3 linked regions of the Drosophila melanogaster genome follow. The protein of the gene in region 3 interacts with the protein of the main gene of each other region in a pairwise test. Each region holds a gene or a part of one and is shown on either strand. Other genes may lie near its edges. The genes, in order: CG2200, CG11164 and CG14692.

Evidence for each region.
Region 1: the proteins of CG14692 (region 3) and CG2200 interact in a two-hybrid assay, tested with the Drosophila melanogaster proteins (one large-scale study listed by BioGRID).
Region 2: the proteins of CG14692 (region 3) and CG11164 interact in a two-hybrid assay, tested with the Drosophila melanogaster proteins (one large-scale study listed by BioGRID).

What each region holds. Positions count from the first base shown.
Region 1 is NC_004354.4:13,091,787-13,098,378, reverse strand, and holds CG2200 (uncharacterized protein), read right to left. Parts: upstream 4,081-6,592; 5' UTR 3,807-4,080; coding exon 3,706-3,806; intron 3,607-3,705; coding exon 3,046-3,606; intron 2,935-3,045; coding exon 2,874-2,934; 3' UTR 2,647-2,873; downstream 1-2,646. Other genes in the region: Chpf (chondroitin polymerizing factor), read left to right, coding at 1-598, 661-1,156, 1,224-1,561; lic (licorne), read right to left, coding at 5,001-5,219, 5,893-6,095, 6,158-6,290, 6,377-6,592. UniProt on the Drosophila melanogaster protein: Hydrolyzes dipeptides containing N-terminal aspartate residues.
Region 2 is NC_004354.4:13,666,272-13,673,219, reverse strand, and holds CG11164 (uncharacterized protein), read right to left. Parts: upstream 5,207-6,948; 5' UTR 5,134-5,206; coding exon 4,773-5,133; intron 4,701-4,772; coding exon 4,039-4,700; 3' UTR 3,647-4,038; downstream 1-3,646. Other genes in the region: CG15760 (uncharacterized protein), read right to left, coding at 40-733, 792-984, 1,774-1,919, 2,571-2,660; DNAlig4 (DNA ligase 4), read left to right, coding at 5,480-5,792, 5,860-6,024, 6,084-6,948.
Region 3 is NT_033777.3:10,799,960-10,807,795, reverse strand, and holds the start of CG14692 (uncharacterized protein), read left to right. Parts: upstream 1-3,840; 5' UTR 3,841-3,886; coding exon 3,887-5,093; intron 5,094-5,191; coding exon 5,192-5,881; intron 5,882-5,939; coding exon 5,940-6,056; intron 6,057-6,114; coding exon 6,115-6,528; intron 6,529-6,582; coding exon 6,583-6,681; intron 6,682-6,733; coding exon 6,734-6,856; intron 6,857-6,916; coding exon 6,917-7,192; intron 7,193-7,260; coding exon 7,261-7,320; intron 7,321-7,383; coding exon 7,384-7,620; intron 7,621-7,687; coding exon 7,688-7,726; intron 7,727-7,793; coding exon 7,794-7,836.

The sequences.
Region 1 (6,592 bases), on a different chromosome or scaffold from region 3:
TCTGGAGAAGGTGCAGGAGCGGGGCTATGCTCTAGAGCAGAAATCGTACCGGATTGCCAATGGGAGTATATCGAACAAGATTCTCGAGATCCGGTGGCCATTGGGCGTGCCGCCACCTAGTGCGCCGGAGACGCGTCACGACATCCTCACGTGGCAGCTGCTCAATGGGACGCACAACTTTCTGCCCAATGGCAATGCGGAGCATGCGGTGGCAACGCTGTCGCGGATCGAGGCACAGGACTTTGCCAAAGTCCTGGAGATAGCACTACAGTATGCCGCACTTAAGCATCCGCGCCTGAGCTACCACAGTCTGCACAGTGCCTATCGGAAGTTCGATGCCACACGCGGCATGGACTACCAGCTGCATCTCAATCTGCAGGAGGGATCGGGTCGCAGTCGCCGGCTCGTGATCAAGAGCTTCGAGGTGGTTAAGCCACTGGGTCGCGTGGAGGTGGTGCCCTCGCCCTACGTCACCGAGAGCACAAGAATTGCCATGTTGGTGCCCGCCTTTGAGCACCAGGTGCCGGATGCTCTGCTGTTTGTGGAACAGTACGAAAGGATTTGTATGCAAAATCAGGACAACACATTCCTGTTGCTGGTGAGATCGAAAGCATATACAATTTGAAGGCAGAATAATGTAATCACTATTTTACCTCTCAGATCTTCATGTACCGACTGGAGTCGCCCAGCAAGGGCGACGAGGATCCCTTCAAAGCACTGAAGACACTGGCCCTTGACTTGTCATCTAAGTACAAGACCGATGGCTCTCGGATCGCCTGGGTGTCCATCCGGCTGCCGGAGCAGCTGAGCGAACCGGTGGATCCGCAGAGCTGGCTGCTGCACGCCTCCATGTATGGACCACGCCAGCTTCTCAGTCTGGTGGTTGCGGATCTGGCACTGCCCAAACTGGGCCTCGAATCCCTCGTGCTGCTGGCCACGCCAGGCATGGTCTTCAAGGCGGACTTTCTGAATCGCGTGCGCATGAACACGATACAGGGCTTCCAGGTGTACGCACCAATCGGCTTCCAGATGTACCCATGCCGCTGGGCGCATTTCTGCCGTGAGTGCGACACCTGCGACGTGAGCCAGAGCAGCGGTTACTTCGATCGCCATAACCACGACGTGATCGCTTTCTATAGTCGGGATTATGTCCAGGGTGAGTGATGGAGGAAACTTTTCCAGTTAATTGGACTTTTATTTACTCCATACTCCTTCCGCTTCAGCTCGCAAGCTCTTACATCCGCAGGGACTGCCGATCATACGCAGCGACCTGGACATCGACCAGCTGCTGCTGCAGCCTGGCGAGGAGACGCGACCACCGGGCGTGGAAAGCATTCTCGATATGTTCGTGGCGGCACAGCACTCGGTGCATATACTGCGCGGAGTGGAACCGAATTTGCGCTTCGGCCAGGATGTGCGGAATCACTTGGCACGCGGAGGAACGCTGCCGCAGAGCGTGCCGGAACGCTGCGGTCGGGAGCAGTGCATCCACCTGGCGTCGCGCAAGCAGATCGGCGACGCCATAATACGCTACGAGGACAAAAGTATTCTACACAAATAGTTGGGATCCGAAGGCTCCTTTCCAGCTCCAGCTCCAGCTCCTGCCTGTAATATCATCAGTTCCTTTTTAAGATATTCCCATTGTGTACATGACCGTGTGATTGATTGAGCTGAACGAATGAATGTGATCCCTGTGTGCGTGTGTGTGTGTGTGTGTGTGCATGCCAACTCTTATACTCGCATCCAAGGCTTAAATTAAATCCTATTCATAAATGAAATGATGGTGGGACTGGGACCCAAGTATAAGACCAGCAGTGGACCTATCTCAATCCGAACTTAGTGTTTTGGGCCTAGGCGATTCCCGTTGTTGCTTGCTTTAAAGTGAAACTTTCAATGCTCAAAAATGGTAGACACAGCAATTAGTTAGTTGGTTAGTTAGTTATTAACGTAGCGTAGTTTTAGCTGCCAAAACTCGTAGGACAAATGTGGGACACTTGTTGTTCGAGCCATTCAACAGACATTCGATTTTCGCATGTAAATACTTAGCATACGCCACATATCTCTATTAACGATTCCTAATAAGTTACGCAGGCAGCATTGCACCATTGACTCCTATTTAAACGACTAGTTAAGCTAAGTGTTATACAACTAAACTAATCTAAGTGAAACGAACGATTTGGCTGTACGACAAATAACCAGATGCCGCCTTGCCTCAAAGTGTTACAATCCCTGTATAAATGGGCTCTCTCAAAGACGGTGTGCCAAAAAAAAAAACAAAAAACAAAAAGGAATTACTGTTAAAAAACTGGTCTAAATCGGGGAGTGCTTACTTTGACCGTGTTCCTCTTTAAAAGTTAGAGCTTAAGTCTTAGCATCGGCTGCCTGAAAACATAAACCATAATTCTATCGAAACTTTGCCTACAAAATAACAATCCAAAAGTATTGCTAGCTATCAGGGCTTTTGTGGCAATGAAAAAGCCCATTGTAAATAAAAAAAAATATATATATTGTTTAAGTGCTTGCCAGTTTCATTTAGCCGATGTCCATTGTTAGTGTATCCATGTTATCCATTTGATCATTTTGCCAGCACATCAGTTTTAGCATCGAATAAGAAGTCTGCCAGTCAAATTCTTATCATTACGATTTACGAGGGGAAATCCGATTAATTTATTACAAAATTTATTAGATATATGTACACTCGTCAGGGGTTATACCTCTATCCAAACTTTTTATACATTTAGTCATAGTGTACAACTACTGTATGTGTACTGCTTACGTGTAGGAATTGTTGTTATTGCAGAATAAAACAAATTATGAATGTGCATATGTACAATAAACATCAATGTTCTCTTTAATTCGATCGTTTTGCTTGGTTATTTCTGCAGCAGGAAGGTGAGATCCGCTAGGGGTGCTAGCTCCTCGGTGCCACCGTCACTGAAAAATAAACGAAAATAAATTACATTTAAATTGTATAAATAACATTAAAGTTATTTGAATGTAAGAAACCATGAAACCCAATTTGTCCGATTGGAAGTGTGTACTTACGCCTTGAACAGCTTGGCATTGCGATCGCCCAGGAGGATGGCCTTCTCGCCCTGAACCCGGACACTGGTGCCCTCGCGAAGACCCAGCACGGGCAGTCCATGGTATGCGACGAACTCCTCCAGCCGCTCGTCTCGCGTCTCGCCCTTGTGCCGACTACCCGCCTCCGGATCCAGATAGTGCGGATTGATGTTGAAGGGAACGAGGGCGAGTGCCTCAAAGCTCGGCGGATAGGCCACCGGCATGTCGTTGGTGGTGTGAATGGATCGAGTTGCCACATTTGTGCCCGCACTGCTGCCCACGTAAGGCAATCCACGCTGGAGCACCAGTTCCCTAATCGGATCGAGCAACTTCATCTCGTAGAGCGAACGCAGCAGCACAAAGGTGTTGCCGCCGCCCACAAAGATGGCCTGTGCCTCCCGCAATGCCTGCTCGCGATCCGGCTTCGTGTGCAGTCCCTCCACATTGAATCCCCACGGCTGCAGTGCATCGCGCACGGTGGCAGTGTACTTGTCGTGATCCCGCAGAGCGTAGGGCACAAAGAGCACGGTCTTCACATTGGCACTGCAAGGAATCGGAGGGTTTGTTCAATTTACCAATGAAAGAATTCACTTTGTTGTAAAAGAATAATAATGTACATATCTCAAATGGTAAGTCACCTACCTCTTGAAGAGATCCTCCAGCTGGCCGCGCGCATGCTCCAAGTATCCATGGCCGTGCAAACGCGACGAGGATAGCAACAATAGGTTCCGTGCACTGGCCATTTCTTTAGCAATCTAATCGTGGGCCAATGGATGGTTCACTGGATGGTTCAGCCAGTCGACCAGAAGATTATCAGGGTTTTATGGCCAGCCGCTAGGGATGGGCTCCAGAAATATCGGAGCAAGTAACTCCTCCATGCGAGCTTATCACAAGGCGCCGGAAAAGCATGGGTGTGGGTGAAATTCCATGAAAGGGGTTTATTTTCCAGAAATTTAACCACTCCATTAGCTGTATAAAGTAAATACTCTGCGTATCTGCGAGTTCTTCGATATCGATAGGAAACTCACGTAGTGCGGGAATGCCTTGCAAATCGCAAAGGTTCTCCACGTCAATGGAACCCTGATACCAGATGAAAAGCTATCGATACCATATATCTATATATGTACATACATATCTACGATTTCCATTTGGTGCATCGTTGCACTCATGATGCACTGAAATCGGCCGCAATTTTTGAATTTCAGCTGGAGTATTTGGTTTTATTTGCCCATTTAGGCAATAACAAAATTCTTAAGATTGTGATACCAATCACATTGAGAATTTTCACCATTTGCAACGAATATTTCTCATACAAATACAACAGGATTTAGCTATTTTACGTAATATATATTTGTTAAACAATTATAATTATAAACACTTTCTTTTCGACTATTTTGGTGTTCAAAAGTTCACAAATTATCATTTAAGTTTAGTACGTTTTTACATTCAATGCTTTGCTTGCTTCTGTTCTTGTTTTTCGTTGACTAAGCTATTCTCATTTAAAAATATATATTAAAATGGTATTATGCTTCAAGACATCAGCAGCATCGCCAGCTGGGAGGCACGGTTCGGTTATCCATTTTTGAGCGTTGCAAGGCGATTGTTGCATTATGCATATTGCAGGTTTGCTAGTAACGGTTATGTTGCTGTTGCTTCTCTCACTTAAATTAATAATTATGCACTTTCCATTTTGTATCTTTAGATTAGCTGACGCTTATTGCTGATTGCTGTTGGGTTTGTTTTTGGGGTTTCCTTGGACTCCATTCAAATAAAGTTTTATTCCTTTTGCTGTCACACAGACGGGGGACACACACACAACATGTACGAAATGCATGCTAGAAGAAGACGGCGGCAATTTACACGGGCACGGGCACGGCTTAAGGGGTTAAGGGGGCGGCGCCATGGGTTAACCATTAACCTGCTACCCGGCCATTAACCTACTGCGCCGGCTGCGCGTCGGGCAGATCCAGTATCCTGGCCACGAACTCCGAGATGTCCGTGTTGCGCTGCAGGTGCTCCACGATGAAGCTGTGCTTGAGCAGCTGCTCGTAGTTGGGCCTTGCCATATACTCCTTCTGCAGGCAGACGGCGATGAAGTCCTCGAATTCCGGCGAAAATGTTCCCTCCGGCAGGCGCGGCGGACTGTCCTCAACCACCTAAAAGATAATAAAAAAAAAAATAGGTTCTTAATTACGCACGATGCGAAAACTTGTGGTTTAGATCGGTTACAAAATCCCTCTGATAAAAGCCTCATTCTGTATGTTTATTAATAGTTTTGTTTAGTATTCTGATAACCACAGCAGCTTGGCACATTACTAATGGTTTTTTTTAGAGTTTATTGTACGTGTAAAGTGCTTGAGAACAAGTGGTTATATTTTTAATTAAAATTACTTAATAGTTATTTGTGAGCCCCCAATAAGTTATGTAACGAAAGTTGGTTCTTGACATTAATATTAACAAAATCATTAGCAGGAAATAATAATACTCAGCATTTGCTTCGTATATGATTATGAGTGGCTATAACTACTATTTTTATACTATTTTCGACGGATTATCTGTGAAAAAACATAAGCTCCAATCAAACGTGTCAATTGATTATTAATTATCAAATTTTTAGAAATTCCACCCTTCTTAAAAGCTTTTAGCTACCACAATTGGAAAAATCCAAATGTTCATTACATATATGATAAGATGGAATACATTATCGGATCGGTAGCCTTTGTATAATTAGGACCTAAAATCCCAAATTGACTAAATGACACATATTTTGTCCGGAAAAATCTTGAAGATCCTCTTTGTGACAGTTACCAGCCAGAGGTAGGCACTCACCTGACGCAGTTGCTCAAATGGCGTTCGCCAATTGTCGTATGGGTAGCGGCCCGTGGCCATTTCGATCATGCCGATGCCCAGCGACCAAACATCCGACCTGATGTCGTATTGCGCCGGATTTCCTTGGGGATCGATCCGTTCCGGCGCCATGTACGGCTTGCAACCGGCATCAATGGTTTTGGCAATGGAGTCGACGAGGTAGCCTAAAAGTCAGTCCAATATTAGAATGATTACAGTGGCAAGAAGTCACAGAATGCCAGCCCACCTGAGATGCCAAAGTCACAGATCTTGACCTGGCCGGCCCGATTGATCAGTATGTTCGAGGGCTTGACGTCCCGATGAATGACTTTCAGTTGAGCGTGCAGATAGTGCAGCGCACTGACCACGCTCATGGCAATCTGTAAAGCAAAGGCAGTAGTACGGTAATAGTATAGTGGCGATTGCCCGATAAGATTAGACCCGCCCCCAATCCTCCCCAGCTGACCTTGCCCAGCACGCTTTCCTCCATTCGCAGATCGTGAAGGAAGACCTTCGGATAGAACTTGTCCAGGCTGGTGCTCATCACCTCCATGCAAATCCAGACATCGCCCTCGCGATACATCGCACCATAAAAGTGGACGGTGTAGGGGCAGTCGCTGGATCTCATCGATATGTCCAAATCCATTACAAGGCGGTGCTGTTCTCGAATATTTACGGTCAT
Region 2 (6,948 bases), on a different chromosome or scaffold from region 3:
TAAGTATTTTAATAGGAAATTCCTTATCACAATACCCACCTGCCACACAGCTGTTGTTCACAAAGATGTCGCTGAGACTGCTGCTGCTATTCGCCATATACCGGAAGTGCTGATCACTCTGGGACTGAAGGTAGCCCACACCAACGCCCACGCCAACTCCCTCCTCGTGAGATGCATGCAGCCGCGTGCTGTAGAGCGCTGCTCCGCCCGGTGCACTGCCCAGTGCCACGGTGGCATAATGCTGGGCCTGCGTCTGGGCGGGCATCAGTCTCGGCTGATAGGCATCCGTTTCCACCAGCTGGGATGCCGATCTCGGCATGGCGTAGTGCACAGATGCCAGCGGAGCATTTGGCACCTGATGCGATGGCGCCTGTTGTTCCACAGATCTCAGATGGCCATTCCCGTGTCCATGGGCATTTGCATTGGCATTGACATTAGCATTGGCATGCGCATGGGCATGGGCCACATAATGATGCAGTCCTAACTCCGGACTGGCTGCCCGTGAGTATGGTGGTGGCACCAGGGTATTCGCCTCATTCGCATTGCAAATGAAGCTGGAGCTTAGGGAGTCGACGGTGCTGGCCGCACTCAGGGATCCCCCGGCAGCCGGACGGACGATGTAGTTCCGGAAGTACTGCACCATCAGGTAGCTGGAGCTGCCGTTGCCCTTGCCATTGCCCGAATCGCTGTTGCAGGTGAAGACAAGTGGATACAGATCCGGCTTGGAGGTCACCTGAGAAGATGGAAATTGTTAAGCGAATCGATTCCGGTCATGTATATGATTACATTACCTCCGTATATGGCGGCGGCGGATGGTGAAACGAGTTGCAGCGACTATATTGTGGTGGTGCATAGCAGGAGCCGGCGGAATCGCCCTCGGATTGGGTGTGGTGCTCATTGAATCCCCAGCCGCATAGTGTCCGCCGCTTCTTCCATAGTGAGTAGGCACACAGGATGGCCAAGATGATGGCCACAACCACGCACCTGCAATAAGAATATAGATTTTCAATCAATCTTTGTAATATCAAAGTGAGGATCGTTATTCACTGCTCGGTTTGCAGCTGGCGCGACTGAATGAAGAAGCCCATTGGAGTAGTGGATGCGGATGTGGGTGCGGATACGGATCCGGATCCGTGTCCTGCTGTTCCCGTAATCGAATTCCGACTGAAATTTGTTTGCCTTTTCGATGGCCAAGAGATGGGATTATATGAGCTGGGTGGCGGTGTGCGGGTTCCGTTTGTGTCTCATTAGTTGGCATTGCCATTTCCACAGCCCCCAAGGGAGGTGGTCGGTACTATGTGCTGGTCGCACTGATGGTAGTGGTGGCATAGCACGGGGGTACAGCTTGCATAAGCCTCTCGACTTGACTCGACATTTGACTTGACGCAACCCCGTCGCTGGGCGCCACCTTTTCTGCCAATAATAATAATATCTCTCGCATGGCACACAATGCCAATCAGCTGGAAGTCCGGCCAGAGCACACTGAAAACCCACGCCATCCAATCCATCCCACCATTCCAACGCCCCAAAAACCCGCCTCATTGAACGGCCTTGCAGACGACCTCCGGGGAATCCCCAAACACAAAAACAAAAACAGTGCAATTCATGATGACCGTGACCATCGCAGTAGCTAAATAAATCACTTCTACTTTGCGCAATTAAAAGAATCACTGTCTCCGAAAGATTCCTATTATTTTACAATTTCGAATAGATAAGTTAGATAGACAGAGAAGTTTCCAAAAGGAGGAGTTTCTCCGGGTCAACACTACTCACCAGAAAAACCAGTGGGTGGCGAAGAACAGATTGAGAACATGCGAGTCCGAGGAGGGCGGAAGGGGGCGTGGCCCGCCCTGGTACGGCGGACAGCAGCCCTGGGTGCAACAGCCCTGAGTGCAGCCCTCGCAAAATCTGGCAGACACCTGGGAAAATGGAACAAGACATTGCATATATTATTCGTTTAATCATGAGAAATATTTGCACATTTTTTATGATAAAAAATAATGTATTCCACTTTTTGTCGATACACCTTTGAAATTGTCATTGCCAATAAATAAAGAATATAAACAACAGCTTGTTATTTTTGTGGTGTTTTTGTATAGCGAGCGACCACTGTACTGCGCCCTTGTTCTTGTGCTCATATTTATGTTTGTGTGCTATGCATTTATTACCGTTGGGAAAGCAATCGCAATCAATTTAAAATTCAAATGTGCATGCAACATGGATGCGCTTGCGTTTATTTAAAAAACTTTTTACAAAGATTAGCTGTTATCTTTTTTTAAGGCGTTTCGTGGGCCCAAATTGCAACAAGCGCACAATAATTGTATTTAATCAAAATATTACAGTGTTGAAAACCAAAGTTTAAATTGCTCGCACATACAAAGGTTCCCAAAAGCATGCAGTGAAACGTATAGTGTCTTGTTTTAAATGAATTCACAAGCGATTTTTATCACCTTGACAATTTACATGTGTAAAATGCGCTTAAAAATTAACTACAGCATAACATTTCGTTGTTTTTCGGTTATTATGCTAGTTTGAGTGCTTGCAACATTGATGAAATGAAGGGCACTTACGTTCGCTGGCAGCAGCCCCAAAAGGAGGAACAAGGAGAGCAGGAGACACTGCAGCGCGTTTGTGTGCGAGGGAGAGGGACGGAGCCACATCTTTCTCAGCCGCTGACGCTGCCTCAGTCGACGCCGCTGTCGCAGTTGCTGCTCGGACTGGCGCCAAATGTCCTACGGGGCTGGTGAGGGGAGGAGGTGCGGGGAGTGTGTGCCTCTCCCTTATTTTCTTCGATTCTTCGCTTTCTTCTTGTCGCAGCCTCCGTTTTGTGTCCGTTTTGGCCCTCGTGTGCGATTTGTTCCTGTCTTTTGTTTTGCTTTCCTATCTGGCTTTCTACTTGCTTCTTTTGCTGTTGATACTTTGCAGTTCCGTTATTTGTACCACATGCTGTTGTTGCTATTGTTGTTGTGGTCGGACTCACACAAACAGCGCTTTGTTTTGTCCTTGACAGACGCCAAATGCAATTTACCGTAGCATGCTTTTGTGCGTTGCGTTGCGATTGTTGGTGTTGCTGCCGTTGTTGTTGCTGCTGCTGCAGAGAAGAGAGAATTTGTTGCTAACTGAGTGCTGCATTGTATTATTTATCTTATGCCACACCAACCACAACACATTCGCACACACACATACACACACACTAAGGCACAAACACCTCGACGACGCCAAAGAAAATTTTCTTTCGTGTGACGCCACTCTTTTCCTTTCTCTGCCTTTCACAATTTAAACTTGAGCACTGGCTTTGGGACACACGGCTAACGGGAAAATTCACTAATGTAACCCCTGTAATTGTTGTTCCGAAAATTCAAGGCATATAGAAAACAACAACAACAACAAGAGCAGGAGTAGCAGGATATTCGGTTGCGGGCGAATGGGTAACGGGGGTGGCGAAATGCGAATCAAGGCGCAAAGCGGAATTCACCGTTAGCCTCGAACGTGGGAGCGCGCACAGCAACAACTGAGCGACAAAAACGGAAACAAAGGAGCCAGCAGCTTTGTAACTGACGGCCAGGATTGCCACCCCGCGCAATGAACTAAGGATTGAAATCATATGTGTTGCATGAATCCCCAAAAATTAATTTCGTTTCTAGTTAGTTTTATTAGTATACTCTGATTTCATATGTTTAATTAGCATTACTTAATATGCTTATATGGTATACCTAAAAAAATATGTCGACTAAGAAACTCTTTATTCGCAACATTTGGCACTGAAGCCTCTAAGTAAACCAATTCCTTAGAAGCCTGGCAACGCCAACAGCTGATGGGGATTTACCAAACGGAATCAAGAGAGATGATCAAACAGCGCATGCGCCAAAAAGGCGCACTTTCAAAATACCAAATTTATGAATACAAATCTTAAAATAACAAAAGTAATTCTTTAAAGTACTATATTCATTGTAAAAAAAAGTGTACATTTGTATTAAATAGAGTATATATATAAAATAAGGAGTTAAAACCTATTCTTAAGATCTGTGAAACGTTAATCTACTTCGCTTTGAAAAACGATGCGATGCTTTTAGTGCCCTTGGCTCCTTTGGCCAGGGCCTTCTCCTTGGCGGTCAGCGAGCGCTCCTTCAGAGGCGCCGCTGTGGGCGATGTGATGGTGGCATTGGGATCGCCATCGCTGTCCACTAGACCGCTGGACTTTAGCTTGGCAGCAGCATCGCTCTCATTTAGCTTGATCTTCTTGGAGTCGCTGCCCTCGTTCTTGCCCGCCACCGACTTGCGCTTCTGAGAAGCTGCTTTCTCCTCAACAATCGCCTGAATCTCGCTAGGAATGTGCAGGTAACTGGTGAGCAAGCCGTGCAGATCCGCATCCAAATACCGTCCCACATAATCGCAAGCCATGCGCGTGTAGTCCATTTCGTTGCTAACGTTCTCAGCTACCAGTTTCTCGCTTCGCACGAAATTCTGCGACTGCGCACTGTGGCCGCAGTGGACTTGCTTCTCCTTCAGGATCTTCGCCACCTGGCGCGTCTTCAGAGCCAACCAAGCCAATGTGCGCTCTTGGTTGTACTTGTAGAACTTCTGTTCGCCAGAGCTCTTCACATCTGCCACGCATTTAAGGTTCCCTGGGTCGAGGATCTCGTTAAGCAGACGACTGGTGCTGGCCTCCTCCACGGCAATGTTGTCCAGCGATATTGCTCCTGATTGTGGTTAAAGATTTTCAAGAATACAATAGTATAGTATACCATCGAAAGCGAATGATAATATCTTACTTTGCGCACAATGTTTTCGGAGGTGATGAAGAGCCAGGAACGTGGGATCCACGGGCGCGGTCATGTAGATTCTGCCGTTGGAGCAGACCTCGCTGTCCACGAACCAACTGCGTCGGGGTTCCGTGAACGCCACCAGCTCCATCATTCTGCCATCGGGATGGGTTATGAACAGTGCCTCCTTGCCATGTCCGGGATGGAAAAACATCTCCAGCCGAAGGTGTCCGTCGTCCGCATCTTTGGGCAGCAGTTCCTCCGACATGAAGAACACCTTCTTCAGTGCCGAGGCCTTGCACATCTTGGCAGATCCCTCCGCATCCGGATCAGCTTTTGGTTTTCTCGCTCGCGTTTCCTTTTTGCCCATTTTCTCGAATAACTTGCCAAGCGTGAAGCAAAAGTCAATAACTGTGGACCGAACCAAAACAAACGATTTGCCGCCTTTTTGGTTATTGATAGAAGTCTATCGATTAATTTTGGTATTTTATATAGTCTGCTAATTTTAACTTGTTCCTATAAACTATTTTATCTATTTTATGCCAAATAGAAGAGCTTAAAAATTAAATAATCTCTGCCACTAACGTCCGCATCTTAATATTGCAACTAGTCTAAAATGGGTATTAACTTTGATTGAGAAGCGCGGTCACATTGCTTGAACAGATGTTCACAGTGATGAAATTGTTTACAACAGTATATTGTTTTTAAACAACAAAATGAGCGTAGATATAGCCAGCACGATCAAGTTCCGGGATATTTGCAGCCTGTTCGAGAAGATTAAGGCCACGCAAAAGGTGGCTAACAAGGAGGAGGTCCTCAAGAGCTACTACGAGTCCTTCTGTCGCCACCGCGAATCCTTTCGCCGGCAAACCGGATTAAACAACGACCAGCCGGAGGACGGTGCCAGTAGCTTCTATTCCGTGCTGCGACTGCTGCTTCCGGGTGCGGACACTGGTCGGGATACCTATGGATTGCAGATCACCGCGCTGGGCAGGCTCTACATCAGGGTGCTCCAGCTACCCACGGACTGTGAGTGCAGAAACGTATTGGCAATGGCATTTAGGCTTATTTAGAATCTCTTTGTTGTCTCTACTAGCCAGCGATGCCATCAGGCTGCAGCACCGCAACGGAAACATGTACCGGGACTACGGTGATGTTGTTTATTCCGTGCTTAAGCCAAGGTGCTTTAATCCGCCCAGCAATTTGAGACTGAAAGAAATCCATCAGATGCTGGACACCATTGCCAACGAGGACACAGAAGGTGGGCGCTTTTAAACTGATCTGAACGACTGAACGTCTTAATGAGACCGCTCTTTGCAGTTAAGCAGCAGCAACTCATCCGGTTTACGGAGCAGGCCTCGCCTGAGGAACAGAAGTGGCTAATTCGGTTGCTGCTTAAGAGCCTCGGGCTGGGGATCGGTGAGCAAAAGATTTTCGGTGTGCTGCACCCCAAGGCGCAGGATATCTACCAGCGCTGCTCCGATCTGGGACATGTGTGCAATCTGCTGGCAGACCGAACCACCGACCTAGACGCCAGCAGCAGCAAGGACAGCAAGGCGGCGGTCAAGTTTGTAAACCTGAATTCCGTCATACGGCCATTCCACCAGATACGTCCCATGCTGTGCGAACGATTCCCCGGTGACATCCAGGAGCTGATGCAGTCGGATGTGCTCTATCTGGAGACCAAAATGGATGGCGAACGCTTTCAGCTGCACATCGATCGGGGTCGTTTCATGTACATTTCCCGCAATGGAGTGGACTACACCAGAAACTTTGGTCACAGCTACGATCACGGCACCTTAACGCCAAAGCTGAGGGGACTTCTGCCGCTGGGTCTGGAGTCTATCATACTCGACGGCGAGATGATGGTGTGGGATACCAACAAACTGCGCTTTCGGGAAAAAGGCGAGAATACGGACGTGAAGAGCCTGAAGCCGGAGGGCAGCTGGCAGCCATGTTTCGTGGTGTACGATCTGCTATATTTTAATGGCCAGAGTCTGCTGGACCATACCTACATTCAGCGGGCGTACAAATTGCAGAAACTCATAGTTGAACAGTCGGGTGTGCTGCAGTTGATGCGTGCACGCAAAATCGGTTCCGTTCAAGAGTTCAACGAGCTGTTCCAGCAGGCACTCGACTCCCACGCCGAGGGCATTGTGCTAAAGAAGCAGGGATCAAGATATCA
Region 3 (7,836 bases):
TAATTTAAGGTTGGCTTTTGCTAATTTTTCGAAAACTAGTCCGAGCGATTGCAGGTGTTCATCAAGGGATGTCGAGAATACAATTATGTCGTCCAAATACACAAGACAGTGTTTGTTTAAGAGTGGTCTTAAAATATCATTCATGCACCGTTGAAAGGTGGCTGGCGCGTTTTTTAATCCGAATGGCATGCGCAAATATTCATAATGACCGTGCTTGGTAGAAAAGGCTGTCTTTGAAACTGATTCTGGATCCATTTCGATCTGGTGGAAACCCTTTGCCAAGTCTATAGTTGTGAAGTAATTACATCTGCCCAATTTTCCCAAGATTTCGTCCATGTTTGGGATTGGGTGTCTGTCTCCTACTGTTATTTCATTTAATTTTCGGTAGTCTATTACAATTCTAAATTTCTGTTTGCCTGATGCATCTTGTTTCTTTGGAACCACCCAGATGGGGCTATTGTAAGGTGAATTACTGGTACGTATAATACCTTGATTTAGCATATCTTGTATTTGGCTTTCGACCTCCTGTTCATAAGCCTGTGGGTAACTGTATTTAGAGTAAAGTGGTAGATTGTGCTTTGTATTGATAGTATGTTTGGTTTGATTAGTAAATGTCAACTTATCACCTTCATGGTACTGTATGTCATGGTATTGCTGCAGGAGTGCGCACAATCTTTGTTTTTCTTCATTATTTAAATGTTCCAATCTGTATAGGTCTGATTCTAAAATGGGTGAAATTTTATTTGGCTGTCTGAGCATGGTGTCAGGTATCATATTTACAATTTGAAAATGACTCTGTTCATGTGTTGCTATTCCTTCTATTAATTTGTATTTGTTGTTGTAAAGAGTTACCTCTTGATCGCGGTAACTTATTGTTGCTTTTGCTTCTGCTAAAAGTTTTCTTCCTAATAAAAGATCGTAATTCTCAGAGAAAGGGTGCAATAAAAATTCATTTGTTGTTGGGAACAAAATCTTTGAAGGTATGATTATACTTTTGTTGACAATGAGCGGTCCATTGCTGGTATGAATAAAAGTACTAGTATTCTGGATTGGTAAATCAAATATATTTTTAGATGTCATGTTAACTGTTGATCCGGTATCAATAAGGCATTTCAAATTATTTTCTTTGTATTTAATTGTTATATATTGGGGTTTTCCAAGGCTTGTGGCTGAAAATTTTCGGCCTGTTCAACATTGGGTTCTTGGTTGTCATTGTTTGTCTCGTCTGTATTAATCTGCTGTAACTGTTGTGTTCTTTGTAAATTTTGGTTGTTTTCGTCAATTTGATATTGATTTTCTGGATAATAGTCTGAATGGTCGTAAGTTGGATAATAAAAATAGTCATATGGAACACACTGCTGATAAAAAGCGTCCTCTTGATATAATGTTTCGTCAACACTCATCCCAGTCTGTCCACTATTAGCTGGTCTTAATCGTTTTATTGGTCGATTGGGTACATAGGAACTTGAATTTTGTGTTGATTGTTGATTTTGATATTGGGGTTGTTGTCCGAACCTATTCTGATCGAATGCATTGTTTCGATTGGTGTTAAAAATTGGTCGAGATGTAAAGTTTGTACGTTGATTTGGTTGAAAAGCATTGTTTTGTTGGCTTGGTTGGAAAACATTGTTTGGATTAGGGTGGTAGGGTATTGGATGACGATAAAGTGGGTTATTAGTTGGTGGTGTTTGATAAATTTGTGGAGCTTGATATGGTATTGGTGAATTATAATGTAGGAAAGGTGTTGGATATTTTCTGATATTGTTAGACTGATTAGTATTTTGATTAAAGGACTTTTGTGGCTTATCAGAGAAATTTTGTTTTTGGACATGTGTACTTGTATGATTTATTTGTTCGTACATGCCCTTCTCTTGTAAAAGGTTTATAAGTGATCGCAAATCTGGTATGTTGTGGTTATTTATTCTTAAATAAATGTGTGTAGGTAATTTTTCAATTAGTGATTCTATACTGGATTTTATTAATTTCAAATAAAAAGTCTTTTCTTCAAGATCTTGCTCTAATTCAAGCTTACTAGTAAGTGTTTGTCTGCGGCTTTCTGCTTCTTCCAGGAATGCTCGTACATTGCCTCGAAATGGGGTCTTTCGAAACTCTTCTAAAAGAACGTGGTTAGGGGTCTGGGGTTTATAGTTGAGTACCAATTGTCTTCTAAGCTGCTGCCAGGTGTACATGTCATAGGCTCCAATGCAGCGCATAACTTCTCCGCTGATGCTGCGTTCAATATGCCCAAATATGATCTGCTGTTGGCGTTCATCTCCGGTAGCATAAAGAGCCAGTATGTAATCAATTCGACTCACAAAGGTGTATAGTGAGCCTGGATCACCGTTGAATTTCTCCACATTGCCAATCTGGTAGGCAACCTGGGTCATGTTGCTGTCTGATAGTGGTGGCACAATTGCTGGTTCTTGAGCCATTTTTGATTTTTGGATTATTTATTTATTTTTTTTATTTATTTTTTTTTTTTATTATTATTATTATTTAGTTATTATATTATTATTATCGTGTATTTTTTTTTTGTTTTTTTTTTTTTTTTTTTTAATATAGTTTTTAATATTTTTATATTTTTTTAATATTGTTTAATTTAAAATGTTGTCTTTTTATTTATTATTCTTATTTTTAATTTTTATCATATAGAATTTTCACTTATTTATTTATTATTCTTACTTTTAATACGTTTTAATTTTCGCTTATTAATTTATTATTTATATTTTTTTTTTTTTTTTTTTAAGATAGGTTTTGATTTTCACAAGGGTTGCACTATAGCTTTTTCGTGGGTCTTTGAGGTAACCAATTGGATTTACAGCCTCTCACAAATTCAATAGCGTCTTCCTGATAATAAATTCAGGTTTGTTTAGGCAAATTGTGATTTTTCGGTTTCACTTTATTGTCGAGGTTTAATTAAAAACTTAAAGCGATATTAACCGTCACGTGGGTGCCCGTTAGCGTGGTACTTTTGTCAGAGAACAAAAAGAACACAGGAATTGGCAAATCTGGTTACCGCATCAAGGAACTTTAACACTGATCACATCGACTGCGCCAATTGCAAATAAATGGTTGCAATAAATAGTTTTGAGTCTATTAAATGGACCGTTCCGAATATGAACTAAGACCAACGCTGAAAATTAAGTTTTGCCAAAATAAAACGAATCAAAATTTCGGGATCGATTTTGTTGTTTATTGATTAACGTTCAGCTTAAGACTAAAAATCAAATGAAAGTGAAAATGAGGAGAAGCCTCTGTGCTTGCTTAAAGAATATGTTAGTGTTTTTGGGAGAGCATTGCTTTTGGATTCTTAAGTGGAGGAGAAGCCTCAGAGAGAGCAGGCAGACTTTAAGATTTGTTTACAAGAATGGCTAAGTGCCGCTGTCAAAGAATTTGTTTATTAGAATGCATACTGCGCAGATGGCATACAGTATGGGGGTGTCAAAATGCAGAGTGGATATTTTTGTTATTTGATCCACATTAGCATGGTGGTCACTTATTGTTTACGTATGCGGCTTTTCAATATGTTTACTCTACGTTATGTGGTTTTGTATGTGAATATGTCACTATATACCATTTTTGGTTCAGGTAATAACATCTTAAAATATTTATTGGTAAGAATCCGCGTCACACTCCAGTTATTAAGGGTCATTACTGATCATATATATATATATATATATATAGAATCCAAGAATAAACCCTATACTTCATTTATAATTCCTTGTCGGCGCAACAAGTTGGAGCGACGTCAGCTGGTGATATGTTTTGGCACCCAGGGTGTTGACATGGCAACTGCCAGCCATCGAGGTTTCCATTGACATTCGGACACCTTCGTTGGTCAGTATTGATTCAACATTTTCCCATGCAAGGTGCCTGAGTTACCAAAATGACGACTGCGAGTTTACCAAGAGTTCCCGAGGGACTGCGGGACCTAATGAAGGTCTATACCAAGGAGGTGTTACGTGAAAAGCCGGCTGACTTGTATGGCTTTTCGGCCAGCTTTTTCAACATGATTGTCGGTGAAAAATCACATCAATCGGTGCGAAAATACGAACCGGTACAAACTTACGAAACCATCATGAAAAACCGCATACGTCAGCAAGTTCCTCTGTCCATGGTGTTTAATATAATACCAGAAAAACTCACCGACCTCATTAAACAGTTTATAAAAGCAGTTTTGAGAGAAAAACCGGACAATATATACATATTTGCACAGGAGTACTTTCAGCGGATGTCCAAGGAAAAGTCGGGTCGAATTGAGTACAGCAAGTACTCGTCCTATGAAAAGTCATTGAAGGACAAAGAACACCTAGCTCCTGCAACGAAAGTAACCTGTGAGTGTGGTCGAGTACTGAGTGCGAATAGAAAGGATGTGGAAAACACTGCATCCGTATATACAGACAACAAATTAGCCGAAGCCGATCAGCGAGAATTTTCCAGCAGAATTAGCTACATACAATCGGTCGTCATCATTCAAAGGCATTTTCGACGATATCTCAACGAGCGGAAAATAGGTCGCGATAAGGATAAATGCAATAGCGTGGACTATGTGGCAGCTATTCTCCTGATTCAACGGCAGGTGCGTCGCTATTTGGCCAAAAAGCGAGTGGCAGAACTTAAAAATTCACGTGACGCACAAAAAGCCGATGCTAAACCCAAAGCTGCCGACTATATGAAAGCCGTTGTCGTCATTCAACGACATTATCGCATATATTTGAAAAAGAAGCAGGAACAAAATCGATTGAAACATGGCCCAGTATCCTTAGCAACAGCAGCCATCATAATCCAAAGAGCCTACCGGCGAATGGTGGCACGACATAAGGCCAAAAGAACCACATCCATCGGGACAGATCAAGCCGAGGAACTCAATGACAATGCCTCCGAGACGGGATCCTACACATCCGTTTCCACCGCACTGCTCTCAACGGAATCCACCGAACTGGGAATGGCGAACTTCGAGGAACGAGTCCATCAAAAAATAATTCACGAGGACGAAGAAGTGGAGAACAGTAACGTTGATGCCGGCCTTAGGAAGGAGTATTTTGCGGAAACCATTAAGGGCGAACAAAAGTCGATAAATTTACGGAAAAGTGGTAATTATGCTAATGTTTTCCCATTAAATTTCATTCTTTAGGAAGAAGTTACTATTTATTTTCGTGTTGTAATCTAATAAAACGTAACAATTTTTCAGAAATTCTTAGCGGCGCCCTAATTGAAAGCATGATTTGCAAACCTGATTTGCAAAACATCAAGGATTTAAATAACGAATCAAAAGAAATCGATGTTGAGTTAGAGGTGAACGAGCATCAACCGGCTAAACTTGAAGAGCACATTACTGATGAGAAGAAAACTATTCAAGATTCTGAATCGGAACTTATAGTTGATAATAAAACAAGTCTAGATCTGGAAACGCTATCTCAAGTCGAGGTGAAAGCTGAAAATAAAAGTAAAGACTATAAGTCGGCAAGCGAGGATCAATTAAAATCGAATAAAAGCTTGGACGCAGAACAGGAAACTCATGTGGACTCTAAAGATAAACCACTTGCAAACGACTTAGATGATGCAATTAAAGCTGAAGACTCAAGCAGTGATCTTCTTAGAGAAAATCGCGAAGAAGACAGCGCATTGCATAGAAACACTGAGAAAAAAGAAAGTGAAGATGTACAAGAAAATATTGTGGAATCAGCTATCGCTTCATCTAATAATGCGAGAAATGTCGAAAAAGAAGATGAAATAATTCCGCTGCCTAAAATTCAAAATTCTAAAAGCCAATTACAGGAAATTTCACTTAAAAATAAAATTACTCCCACAGTTTCAATTGAAATTGAGCATGTTGAAGACATTTTGGAAGATTCATCCGCAAGTCCCAATGATTCTAAAGGTATGTACACTTATTACATTTGTAATCAAGATTTAATAAGTTCTAACTATATATTTAGCTGATGATCTAACTGAAGGGATATCTGTTACCGAAGAGCCTAAAAGTATCCCCAACGTAGAAGTAGATAGCTTGAAAAGCATTCTTATTAATCATAATCTAGAAGGTTGTGAGCAAGGTACGCAAGATAATAATTTAATACATAATTTAAATTACATTTAGAAACACCTATTTAGAAACATCTGCTGAAACTATAGTCGACATAAATTTTGAAGCAGCTGCAGCAAAGCAAGATATAGATTCAAATGAGATGATACAGTCTTCAGACACACATGAAAAGATTAGAGAAAAGAGAAGTATTGAATATGAAGACAATGTTCAATTGAATTCGGATTCTCAGAATGTGTTGATTGCCGAAAGCCCAATTGATCAGGAACAACTTAAGATAAACAATGACCAGACACTGGAGTTGGATAGAAAACCGGAAATAATACCTAAAGTGGAAGATGTGCCGAAAACAACACCAAATACAAAAGATGATGAAGTTTCCGGCAGCACTGAAAAATTAGAGATGAATAAAGAAGAGCCATTAGATGAAACCGTTGAGTTATCAAATCATGAAATAACGTTGAGCAAAGTGCTTAAAACTGGTAAATATTAAAATGATTTATATTTCTTATATTGACCAACACATTTTACATTAGTATCGGAAAATAAACAAGAACGAATGGAGGATTTACCATCTGAAGATAAAATTGTTAAAGATAGTACTTCAAGCTTAGCAGAGGATTCAAAGATGCCAGGTAAGTTAAAAAATATTGTAAAATATTAATCACACAAAACAAACATTTATAGAAGCAAAGAAAGAATCAAAATCAATTGATGAATTAGAGACAACGAAAGAGGTCCTTGAAGATATAATACATTCCGAAACTGATTTGTCCAAACAAAACATTAAAGAAAATGTTGAAGAAACGGGTACGTAAACTTATTAAATATTTGATAATTATTTTTATCCCTTTCTTGTGCAATTTTAAGATAAACCTCAATCTGATGACTCCCCAAAAGAACTAGAAAACTTAAAGGATAAAATAAAAATGCTGACACAAGAGGAAGTCACTCCAATAGAACCCGAAAGTTTAGAAACTAAGGGATTGTTGTCTACAGATAAAAACGATAAAAACAGCCTTTTCAGTAAAACTAATTCCGAAGAAAATAACAATGAATCACAAAATGTTGATGACATTACTGAAAAAACTGATTTGAAAAACGAAAAACATTTATTGGCTTCTCACATTTCTGTTACATCCTCAGGTAAGTGAATCTCTAGTTCGAACAAATGAAGAATAATAACTTAACAATATTGTTTTTTAACTTAAAAGGAATAGATGATAATGATATTCAGAACACAGCAGCTAGCGCAGAACTCTCTGTTATTGATGGTAACTAACTTTTAATATAGTTCTTGGAATAACACATTCTTATATTTATATATCTAAATGTAGGTGATATATCAATTAGGGAATCTGAAACGAAACATGTTGAAAATCGAGAAGAAATGGCTTCAACCAATCTGGACTCTGATCAAGTCGAAAATATGAAACTAGAAGGTGAGATTGGGCAATTGAAAACTGTATTTGAACAATCGGAGGAAAAAACTAGTCCAACCAAATCGGAGTCTTTGCACGCTGAAGATCGCAAAATTTCAGGAAAATCGAAGGAATCTTTAGAGGATGCAGGAGGTACATACGTATACATTTTTCGTTGACATAGATTATGAAATAAGATGGTTTTATTTTATTTTTCAAGACGAAAACAGAGCTGTTGAAGAAATTATTGATATCACAGGTAATTTAATATAATAGTATTTGTTTACAATTCAACAGTTCAATCAAAATCCATATATACTTAGCAGAAAACGACCGGTCAACTTTACTTGAAAACCTGCCTTCATCAGA